Rattus norvegicus: one gene and its partners. The protein of the gene in region 1 purifies or fractionates together with the protein of each later gene. This does not show direct contact. Links are inferred from orthologs where the notes say so. Each region holds a gene or a part of one and is shown on either strand. Other genes may lie near its edges.

Region 1 (2,641 bases):
ACAGAATACAGGCTATGTTTCTTTATTTACAGGGGTCCCAGGTAACAGGTCGGAAAGCAGATGTCATTAAGGCTGCTCACTTATGTGCCGAAGCTGCTTTACGACTGGTCAAACCTGGAAACCAGGTATAGTGCTTCCTTGTAATGCCAAAGCTTGACAGGAAAGGTGAAGTGGGCATCTGTAAACAGCAGTTGACTGAGTGCCTGCCATCCATGCAAGGCACAGCACAGAGGGTGTAATTTCTTCTTGTGGAACCCATAAAGGCCATTTTTAGATGTGTGTGTGTGTGTCCATATTTTTTATTATATATAAGTACACTGTTGCTGTCTTCAGACACACCAGAGGGCATCAGATCCCATTACATACGGTTGTGAGCCACCATGTGGTTGCTGGGATTTGAACTCAGGACCTCGGGAAGAGCAGTCGGTGCTCTTAACCACTGAGCCATCTCTCCAGCCCTGAAACACGAGGTTTTACAGTTGTGTGTGAGTGCTGGGTGTGGTGGTATATGCCTTTGCATTTGTTCTTCCTTTTTGTGTGCTTTCTCGTGTGCTAAATGCTCACACTGCACTCAGTTGGTATTCATTCTCCTGATTAAGAAAGTCCCTAGCTGGGGGTTGGGGATTTATTTAGCTCAGTGGTAGAGTGCTTGCCTCGCAAGCGCAAGGCCCTGGGTTCGGTCCCCAGCTCTGAAAAAAAGAAGAAAAATAAAAGTCCCTAGCCTGTACTAAGTTAGGCTAGTTCCTATTTTTCCGTTTGAATTTTTTTTTTTTTAAATTGGCTGTTTGCATCATGGTCAGTCCATAGCTGTTGGATCAGACACAGTCTATGAGCTCGATATTTAAAAGTCATCTCTTCCTCCCTAGTGATCCCATCCTCCTCCCTGGATCACCATATGTGATCCTCATCTGTAAACTAGGAAAAGTGTCAGAGGGACTCATAGCTTGGATGAAGAGGAAGATGTCTCCATGGGTAAAGGCCCTCGTACTCTGCCTGCTGACCTACCTGATACAAAATAAGAACTGTCTCTTAGAACTCACATCTATTAGTGATAAATGCATGCACACAAACACTAAGTTTATTTTCTTGTGCTTGTCTTGAAACAGCTCTTATTTTGTGTATGCCAGGCTGGCCTTGAACTCGGATCCTCCTGCCTCTGCTGCCCAAGTTCTGGGAGTAAAGGCATGTCTGCTTTGCCTGGCACAAGTTTTTTTTTTTTTTTTTGTTTTTTGTTTTTTTGATTTTTTTTTTCCCCAAATGTCAAGGCCAATGATTCTCACACAACCCCATCTTTTCTACAAACAAACTTATATCCCAGCACTCGAGAGGCATCTGACCAGGCATCTAAGGCAGGCCTTTATAGGTTCCACAGGAAGAACTTACATTCCTAGCAGTCTCATTGGAAAATGTGGGGTTACAGCAAGGTTTCTCCCCTAAATACTTGCTTATCTTTGGACAAATCAGCTAGTTTTTTTGAGTCTGTTTTCCTGTCCTCTGGATTGGGGTGTAGATCTGCTCCGTTCTTGAAGAGGTGTCGATTTGGATCGTGCTTATGAAAGCAGGTTTTTGTGGGTTGAGATCAGGTTTCTTTCCTCCTTGTAGCCCTAGCTGTTCAGGACTCGCTCTATAGACCAAGCTGGCCTTGAACCTCAGAGATCCTCCTACCTCTGCTTCCCCAGTGCTAGGAATGAAGGCGCCACCCTCCCCTGGATATAAGTCTGTAGCAATGATGGGTGAAGGAGAGTCATTGGTGAGGGATGTTAGAAAGTTGGTTGTGAGGAGAGGCTGGAGAGCAGACATAGCCTCACCTCCTTGTGCTTGTGCTTGTACTTGTAGAACACACAAGTGACAGAAGCCTGGAACAAAGTCGCTCATTCATTTAACTGCACGCCAATAGAAGGTGAGACGATAACAGTGCCAAAGGTCTGCCTGTGATGAGTGCTGATAAGTGCTGTAGGATTAAGACCCGTCCTGATTCTGCCTGTTTTCCATAGTCGGTATAATTGAGCCATCAAACTGCTTACATGGGTAGTTTTGGAAGCCATCAGGGGGCCCTATCCCCCCATCCCGGCACCACAAGTTCTGTCCTGTCTGCAGGTATGCTGTCACACCAGTTGAAGCAGCATGTGATTGATGGAGAGAAAACCATTATCCAGAATCCTACAGACCAGCAGAAGTGAGTCCCAACTCCACATCCCTCTCCAGACTACTATGGGTTCCTATAGGTGTTTGATGTTGGGTTTTTTGTTGTGTTTTTTTTTTTTTAATTTATTTTATTTATTCCATGTATGTAAGTACATTGTCGCTGTCCTCAGACACACCTGAAGGGGACATCGGATCCCATTATGGATGGTTGTGAGTCACCATGTGGTTGCTGGGAATTGAACTCAGGACCTCTGGAAGAGCAGTCAATGCTCTTAACCGCTGAGCCATCTCTCCAGCCCTTTTTAAAATGATCTTAATTATATCTGTGCCTGCCTGCTCCTCGAGCTGAAGTTAAAGGCAATGGCAAACCCACCTGGTTCTAGTGCTGAGAACCAAACTCAGGTCCTGTAAAGAGGAGTGTGTCCCCTGAATTACTGAACTGTCTTTGCCTCTAGGGGAGCGGGTGGGTGTCACTGTGTAGTGGTCCTGACTGGCC
Region 2 (3,169 bases), on another chromosome or scaffold:
ATCATGGTTGGATTAAAAACTCATATTTTATGCTTTTAATTCTTTCCATAACTTAATGGGTTTTTATTTCCTTTTCAAGGTTTTCCTTTTTTAAGTATTTGTAGTGTTTATGTTGTCTGGATTGGTAGCAAATGCATTTGCCTACTGAGCCATCTTTCTTTCAGACTCTGAGGAAGAAGTTATGGAGATCACACCAGCCAAAGGAAAGAAAACTCCTGCAAAAGTTGTTCCTGTGAAAGCCAAGAGTGTGGCCGAGGAGGAGGAAGATGATGAGGATGATGAAGATGAAGAGGAGGATGAAGATGAAGAAGATGAAGAGGACGATGAAGATGAGGATGAGGAAGAAGAGGAAGGTAACCAGATTAACTTATAAAGTATGCTGACTTAAGTAATGCTTATTAATGGAAATGCTAAAAAGTCTGTGTACTCATGAATGACATTTTAAAACATGCAGAACCTGTTAAAGCAGCACCTGGAAAACGGAAGAAGGAGATGACCAAGCAGAAAGAAGCCCCTGAAGCCAAGAAACAGAAAATAGAAGGTAAGCCTGCAAAATTGGGACTTAAAAGGAGATCAGAGTAGCAATAGCACAAGTGATGACTAACAAAGGGACTTAATACTGAAACATCTGGGATTGAAATGCAGTATGCTGATGTGCTTTATAGTTTATGATGAAATTCACTTGTCGTATGCTTAAGTGGACTAAAAAAGCTCATTTTTTGTGCAGGCTCAGAACCAACTACACCTTTCAACCTGTTCATTGGAAACCTTAATCCAAACAAGTCTGTTGCTGAATTAAAAGTTGCCATCAGTGAACTTTTTGCTAAAAATGATCTTGCTGCTGTGGATGTCAGAACTGGTACAAATAGGTATGTTTTTCATTAAATGGTTTGTGTGTATCAGCTAGTATTTTTACCTTCCAGTTGTGTTCTTCCACGCCCTTAAATACTGGGATAGATAAGGCACTACAGTAATAAAGAGGTTAGATAGTAATGAACTAAATCATCAAATTATAGGACCTGCAATTTGAAGTCCTGTGTTTGACTTGGGGGTGTCAAATAGCAATTTTAAGAATTTTACATTTTGGGTAATTTTGCACTTTGGGTCTGCATAGTCACAGCAAATGCTTTTAGCTAAAAGGATTCTCAGTACTTACCAGGGTCCATGCCAGCTACTGCTGTTACAGTATGATGAATGAAGAAACCAAGGACATGGACTCGATTTTATGGGATATAAGAATGATCTGGTTTTATTTTGTTAGTGTTGTACATGCTGCCTGTGTTCGTACCACACGGTACAGGTGTAGATCACCTCATGCCTATAATCTTGTTTTTTACTTTTTTCAAGGAAATTTGGTTATGTTGATTTTGAGTCTGCTGAAGACCTAGAAAAGGCCCTGGAGCTCACTGGTTTAAAAGTGTTTGGCAATGAAATTAAACTAGAAAAACCAAAAGGAAGAGATAGTAAGAAAGGTATGTAAAAGAGTCTGGGTAACTCGGCACTAATGCTTAGGAGATAGTCTTGTCCCCCTTTCTCCCTTAGTTTCATCCTCATTGTGAACCAGTGAAATGATGTGGATCATGTGATGACTGACAGATTTGATTCCTGGGATATGTCAGGGCTGGCAGGATGGTTAGTTGAGTAAAGATGCTAGGTACAAAATTTGATCTCTACAAGCCACATGAAGAAGGGAAGAAACAGCGTGTTTCAGTGTACTAGTGCACATCCAGCACTCAGGAGGCAGAGGCAGGGGGATCTGAGTTTTGAGGCCAAAAAACAAAGCAATTCTAGGACAGCCAGGACTATTAACGCTTTCAAAAACTCCCAAGTTGTCATCTGCCTACATGTGTGTCATGGCATGCTTGAGGCTTACATATCTCTTGAAATGAATTCTTGTTCTCTATTTTAAGTTTGAGAATGTGGACTTTGAAGTGTTTTCTTATTTATACAATGTAATACATACAGTCTAGGGGAAATATATACATGTAAACAAGTAAGAGGTGAGCCTCATCTGAAACTGGACAGAAGTTTGAGTCACCAGGTAGGTAGGTGACTAAGTGCTGACGATTGGACATGGGTCCTCTTTGTGCAAAAGGCTAGTAACCATTGAGCCACCTCTCCATCCCCCTTTTTTTAAAGCACAGATTCTTATCCTTTATAGGAGCTATTTGCTTTATTCTCTTGTGACTTCTAAAATGATGTTCTTAAATCTTGTTTCAATATAGTTCGAGCTGCAAGAACACTTTTAGCCAAAAACCTCTCTTTCAACATCACTGAGGATGAATTAAAAGAAGTGTTTGAAGATGCTGTGGAGATCAGATTAGTCAGCCAGGATGGGAGAAGTAAAGGGTATGTTTTGTTCCTTTGAATGTTAAGTTTTATTAGCAGAATTTGAGTTTGTTGTTATCTTCTCCTACCCTCCCCTTAATAATCTCAAGTAGTTTTCATAACCAGAAAAAAAAAAACAGAATACCTGGTCCTTTGGCCTCCATCTCCCAAGTTCTGAAATTAAAAATGTTCAACTATTGGGTCTTGAAGCTGTGATAAATTTTACAGCTGGCCTCAATCCAAATCGCATCTTTGGCCACCAGTACTATCCTTGCCTATTATATGAGATAAACGTGATTCTAGGCAGTTCAGTCTATTATTGTATCTGCTTTTTCTCCTCCTTACATAGGTGGCCAGCTTCAAGAATGATTTCAGAGGAGCTAATACAGTAAAAGAACAGTAAAAGCTGTTTGGTCATAACCACCTGTTTCAGTCACATGCGACTTAAGTCCTTATATCATAATATGCTTGAGTGACATTTTGTCTAATGTATTAAGTGAATTGTGCGTATAAACTCTTAATCTCTTTTAGGATTGCTTATATTGAATTTAAGTCTGAGGCTGATGCAGAGAAAAACTTGGAAGAAAAGCAGGGGGCAGAAATTGATGGACGGTCTGTTTCACTCTACTACACTGGAGAGAAAGGACAAAGGCAAGAGAGAACTGGAAAGAATAGCACTTGGAGTGGTAAGTTAAGGTTTAATTGTATAGTGGGGGTGGGAATCATTTGCATCTTTGCTTCTATGTTTAGCTAGAATTAATTTACCTTTGTTCATATAGCTCATGCTTAGTCTTCATGAGTGAAAGCTATTTGAAATCATATCCGTTGGAGTGTAGTAGGC
Region 3 (3,657 bases), on another chromosome or scaffold:
CATGGATGGGAATGACTGCTCAGAAATAACTGAGGGGATAGTAGGAATACTTAACTGGGATGAGGGCACCGATGAAGTATGAAACCATTAAATAAGCAAATAGAAACAGTGCTACTTTATTAAAATACTGAGTTTATTTCACATGTATATTTGTCTCCCTACCATTTCCACATCTGACCACCACTACTACTATGTCCTATCATAACATTCCATACATACTTAAAACCAAGTAAAGGGCGGAGTTCCATCCTTGAAAACTAAACAGGCATTTTAGACAACACATTCTTGGCAATTGAACCTGGACAACATTTATCAAACACAGTAGGGAAAGTTCTCACTTTGCATTATAAAAAGGACAGCCAGATAGCAACTATTACAGAAATGAAGACAGAATTATTTCAAACTGTTTAAACCATTTTCTTAAAGAGACTTCCTCCACTGCCAGAGATCTTGAATAGCCTGTAAAAAGGAAAAATGGTAAAGAAATGTTAACTTTATAAAATTAAAGTTAATGTTTTCATCATATAAAGAGAAAATGCAGAATTTTAACTCAAACATAGCCATGAATGAGACTCCTAACTAAATGGCTTAGCCATGACTTTATGGCCAATGCTGCCTCCTGTCTGTGTGGGTCAACCCTATTTAGGGACTCAGAATTTGAGTTTACAGTAAAGTCCAGGCAAGTATTACAAAGCAAAAGAACACAACCTGGAGAAACCCAAAGGGACATAACCTGTTCTTAATGAAGTTTGGATAGACACCTATAGCTCAGACTGATGAAACCCTTTAAATCAACTGTTCATACAGAAGGTCTAACAAAACCCATATTTCCTATTTACAACTAATAGAAAATTTAAATTCACACCCTTGCATGGCCCAAGTGACTCCACCACAATAAACCATACCATTTATCTCACATGCATGAGGCTTTTTAACCTATCCTAGTTTGATTTTACCAATATTGTTCTCCCCCCCTTCACTATCTGGAGAAGACACTACCACTCCCAAGAGAGCAAATATCAGACTGTGTAAAGCAGCCAAATGGAGCAAATAAAAAGCCACAGCCTATTTCCTTAGCCAACACACTACCAAGAGTAAAACTAAGTTCAGTAACCAAGAGATAATTGACCAACTATTTAAAAAGCTGGGGAAAAAATGTGCACTAAAAATTATTTGCTCAGTCTGCCAATTAAATTCTTTCCATGTATTTAAGTACTGTCTGTGGTTAGGAACCTTTTACAAGAAGCCAATAACTTAAGAGTCTAAAAGTAAGAGTCATAATAAATCACAATGAAAATTTTAGATTTGGTCATGTCCACAGAAAATTCAGTTACCTCCTGGTCAGTCATCCGGAAACAATTCTTCACATAATTAATGAACTTGGCTTCCACTTTGGGAAGAGAACCACCCTATTGAGGAAGAAAGCATTAATTATTAAGGACAAGCACAGAAGTGAGACACAATTAGAAAACTTCCAAAGACTTGCATGCCATTACACAAACTATCCCTCAACACTACCATTTGATTAAAAAAAAAAAAAAACAAAACATCGAGGACCAAACCTCAGAAAGAATGGTTTTTCACTGCTTAAAGTCCAATTCCTTCCAAACTGCCAGTTTAAAACTGTATGGTTCTACCAGCATGCAAATACAGCAATTTGGTGCCTATTATAATAAGTTAGTGTCATCACCTACCACCAAAAAACCAAATTAAATCAAAACTGTTTATAAAAGTGTTCCAAAAAGCACACAATCAAAGGGTTCTAAAATGCTACCCTCACTGTTGCACCGACCTGGCATGTTTCCAATTATGAATATAGGCAGTGAATCACAGTATCAGCAATGTCAGTTTTGCCACCAAAACTCTTACAAGCTAGGTACAACTGTAACCAGCATAAAGTTATCACTACAGAGATTTATCCCTATTCTAAATAAAGTCCACTTCTCTATAAATTTTAGGTTTTTTCCATTTTTATGCACTTAGCAAGTCTAAGGCTTCCAAATTCCAGATTCATCTTGAGTACTTAAATTGCCTCCATCACCTAGAAGATAATTCACTACAATTTAAAAATATTGTCACATACATCCTTATTGGTTCATTCAAAAATTTATTTCGAGCAGCTAAGGATACAAAGGTTAAAATTAAAACATGGTCAGAGTTAAGGCATATGCACAAGTGGTATAGAAAAGCAGTCAAGTTTTCTGCATCACACGAGTGAAAAAGAAAAATGCTTTAGGAAAACGATTGCTTCCAGCCTGCAAGGGGGAATGGATGGCCAATCAGGAAAGGGGATTGAGATTAAAATAGAAGACTTCAGTCTGGATTGTTGATGGTACTATATTTGTTTCTCCTTTTCCTCTTTCCCCATCTTTGGGCTTAATTTACCAGTAGTGCCCAGGAATGTTCAATGCGCCTGCAATTAAACCAAGGAGATAGGACCACATTAAAATGGGGGGGAGGGGCATCATTTTAGCAGTGTATGCAAGGGATAAAAAATAAATCAGCAACACCAGGAAACTTAAGTTTACAGTTTAAATAAGAAATATATGTGCTGGCCAAGTGCTAAATTCCAATCCGTTCGTGGTTGCAAAGGAAGAAACTTCTGAAGCCATGTGAGGCCAGGACAGGACTGGGCAATTTCCTTATCATTTCACATGTATACTCAGTATGTTGGAATCATAATGGAGAATCTTTAATTTTCCAATAATCATGTGTATTATTCAATTTTCTACACAAACATGCTTTATATAATAATGTATTAGTTCCAGCCAAATGGCCAAGAAAGAAATTCTACCTAAGACTAGATGAAAGCCTATTAGTAGCCACACATAAATTTCAGGTCATGGACTGAGTGTGCTTTGGTACAGAAGGCACAGAAATAACTCAAATTGTTGTGAAATACTTAAAGGTGATCCTTTTCACCTTAGCTATAATCTCAGGCAGCCAAACACTCGTGTCTTACTTTTCCAGCTGTTTTTAGTTTTACTGAAAACCAAGCGCCCTCTGCTGGTTCTACAGCATAACCCCAGAAAGGACATTGTAAGATTGGAGTGCACCCTTCCAAATTTTGAGTGCACAGGATTATTGTTATAATCTACTTTTTAACCTGAATTCCCATATTAGTACAATTTAAAGTGGGAGAAAGACGAATCTATTTAAAGGTAATTTTTACTCACTTTTTCTATACTTGCTTGCATTTTTGCCTTAATGTCTTCTACAGAGCTAGGTCCTTTGGGTGTTTTGGGAGTTTTTTCCTGTTTTTTGAAGGACTCTTGACCCTGGAAAAGTTTTTAAAATTGTTAGTACAGTTCTTAACAAATAGTAATTACAAGGATTTCTATTATCCTTACAATTCCTTTTATAGATAAAACAGAGAAGTTGCTAATATAAATTGATGCATTGTAGTAATTCTTCCTAGCTAGTCTCAGAGAACCAAGTAGGTCATCCTTTAAAAAAAATCAAGTCACAAGCATCTGTGATGGGATCTGATACCCTCTTAAGACTGTCTGAAGACAGTGACAACAGTGTACTCATATTTAAAAAAGGGGTTGGGAGAGATGCTTCAAAGTTAGGATAGGATAAAATCAAACTTGATAGGCCAACTCCTATAATAATAACTCCTGACAATTATTTGACCTCTACAAGTATACACCTAGA

What was found.
Region 2: the proteins of Pa2g4 (region 1) and Ncl purify together in Homo sapiens (affinity purification with mass spectrometry; 3 studies listed by BioGRID and IntAct, with this or other methods). This does not show direct contact. The link is inferred for Rattus norvegicus from reciprocal best matches to the Homo sapiens genes PA2G4 and NCL.
Region 3: the proteins of Pa2g4 (region 1) and Npm1 purify together in Homo sapiens (affinity purification with mass spectrometry; 4 studies listed by BioGRID and IntAct, with this or other methods). This does not show direct contact. The link is inferred for Rattus norvegicus from reciprocal best matches to the Homo sapiens genes PA2G4 and NPM1.

Annotation. Positions count from the first base shown.
Region 1 is NC_086025.1:1,571,237-1,573,877, reverse strand, and holds part of Pa2g4 (proliferation-associated protein 2G4), read left to right. Parts: intron 1-32; coding exon 33-125; intron 126-1,836; coding exon 1,837-1,900; intron 1,901-2,097; coding exon 2,098-2,176; intron 2,177-2,641. UniProt on the Homo sapiens protein: May play a role in a ERBB3-regulated signal transduction pathway. Seems be involved in growth regulation. Acts a corepressor of the androgen receptor (AR) and is regulated by the ERBB3 ligand neuregulin-1/heregulin (HRG).
Region 2 is NC_086027.1:94,449,975-94,453,143, reverse strand, and holds part of Ncl (nucleolin), read left to right. Parts: intron 1-164; coding exon 165-353; intron 354-454; coding exon 455-541; intron 542-586; exon of another isoform or gene 587-658; intron 659-727; coding exon 728-869; intron 870-1,347; coding exon 1,348-1,472; intron 1,473-2,225; coding exon 2,226-2,349; intron 2,350-2,859; coding exon 2,860-3,014; intron 3,015-3,169. UniProt on the Homo sapiens protein: Nucleolin is the major nucleolar protein of growing eukaryotic cells. It is found associated with intranucleolar chromatin and pre-ribosomal particles. It induces chromatin decondensation by binding to histone H1.
Region 3 is NC_086028.1:18,245,627-18,249,283, forward strand, and holds the end of Npm1 (nucleophosmin), read right to left. Parts: intron 3,279-3,657; coding exon 3,177-3,278; intron 2,414-3,176; coding exon of another isoform or gene 2,405-2,413; exon of another isoform or gene 2,091-2,404; intron 1,410-2,090; coding exon 1,335-1,409; intron 460-1,334; coding exon 421-459; 3' UTR 113-420; downstream 1-112. UniProt on the Homo sapiens protein: Involved in diverse cellular processes such as ribosome biogenesis, centrosome duplication, protein chaperoning, histone assembly, cell proliferation, and regulation of tumor suppressors p53/TP53 and ARF.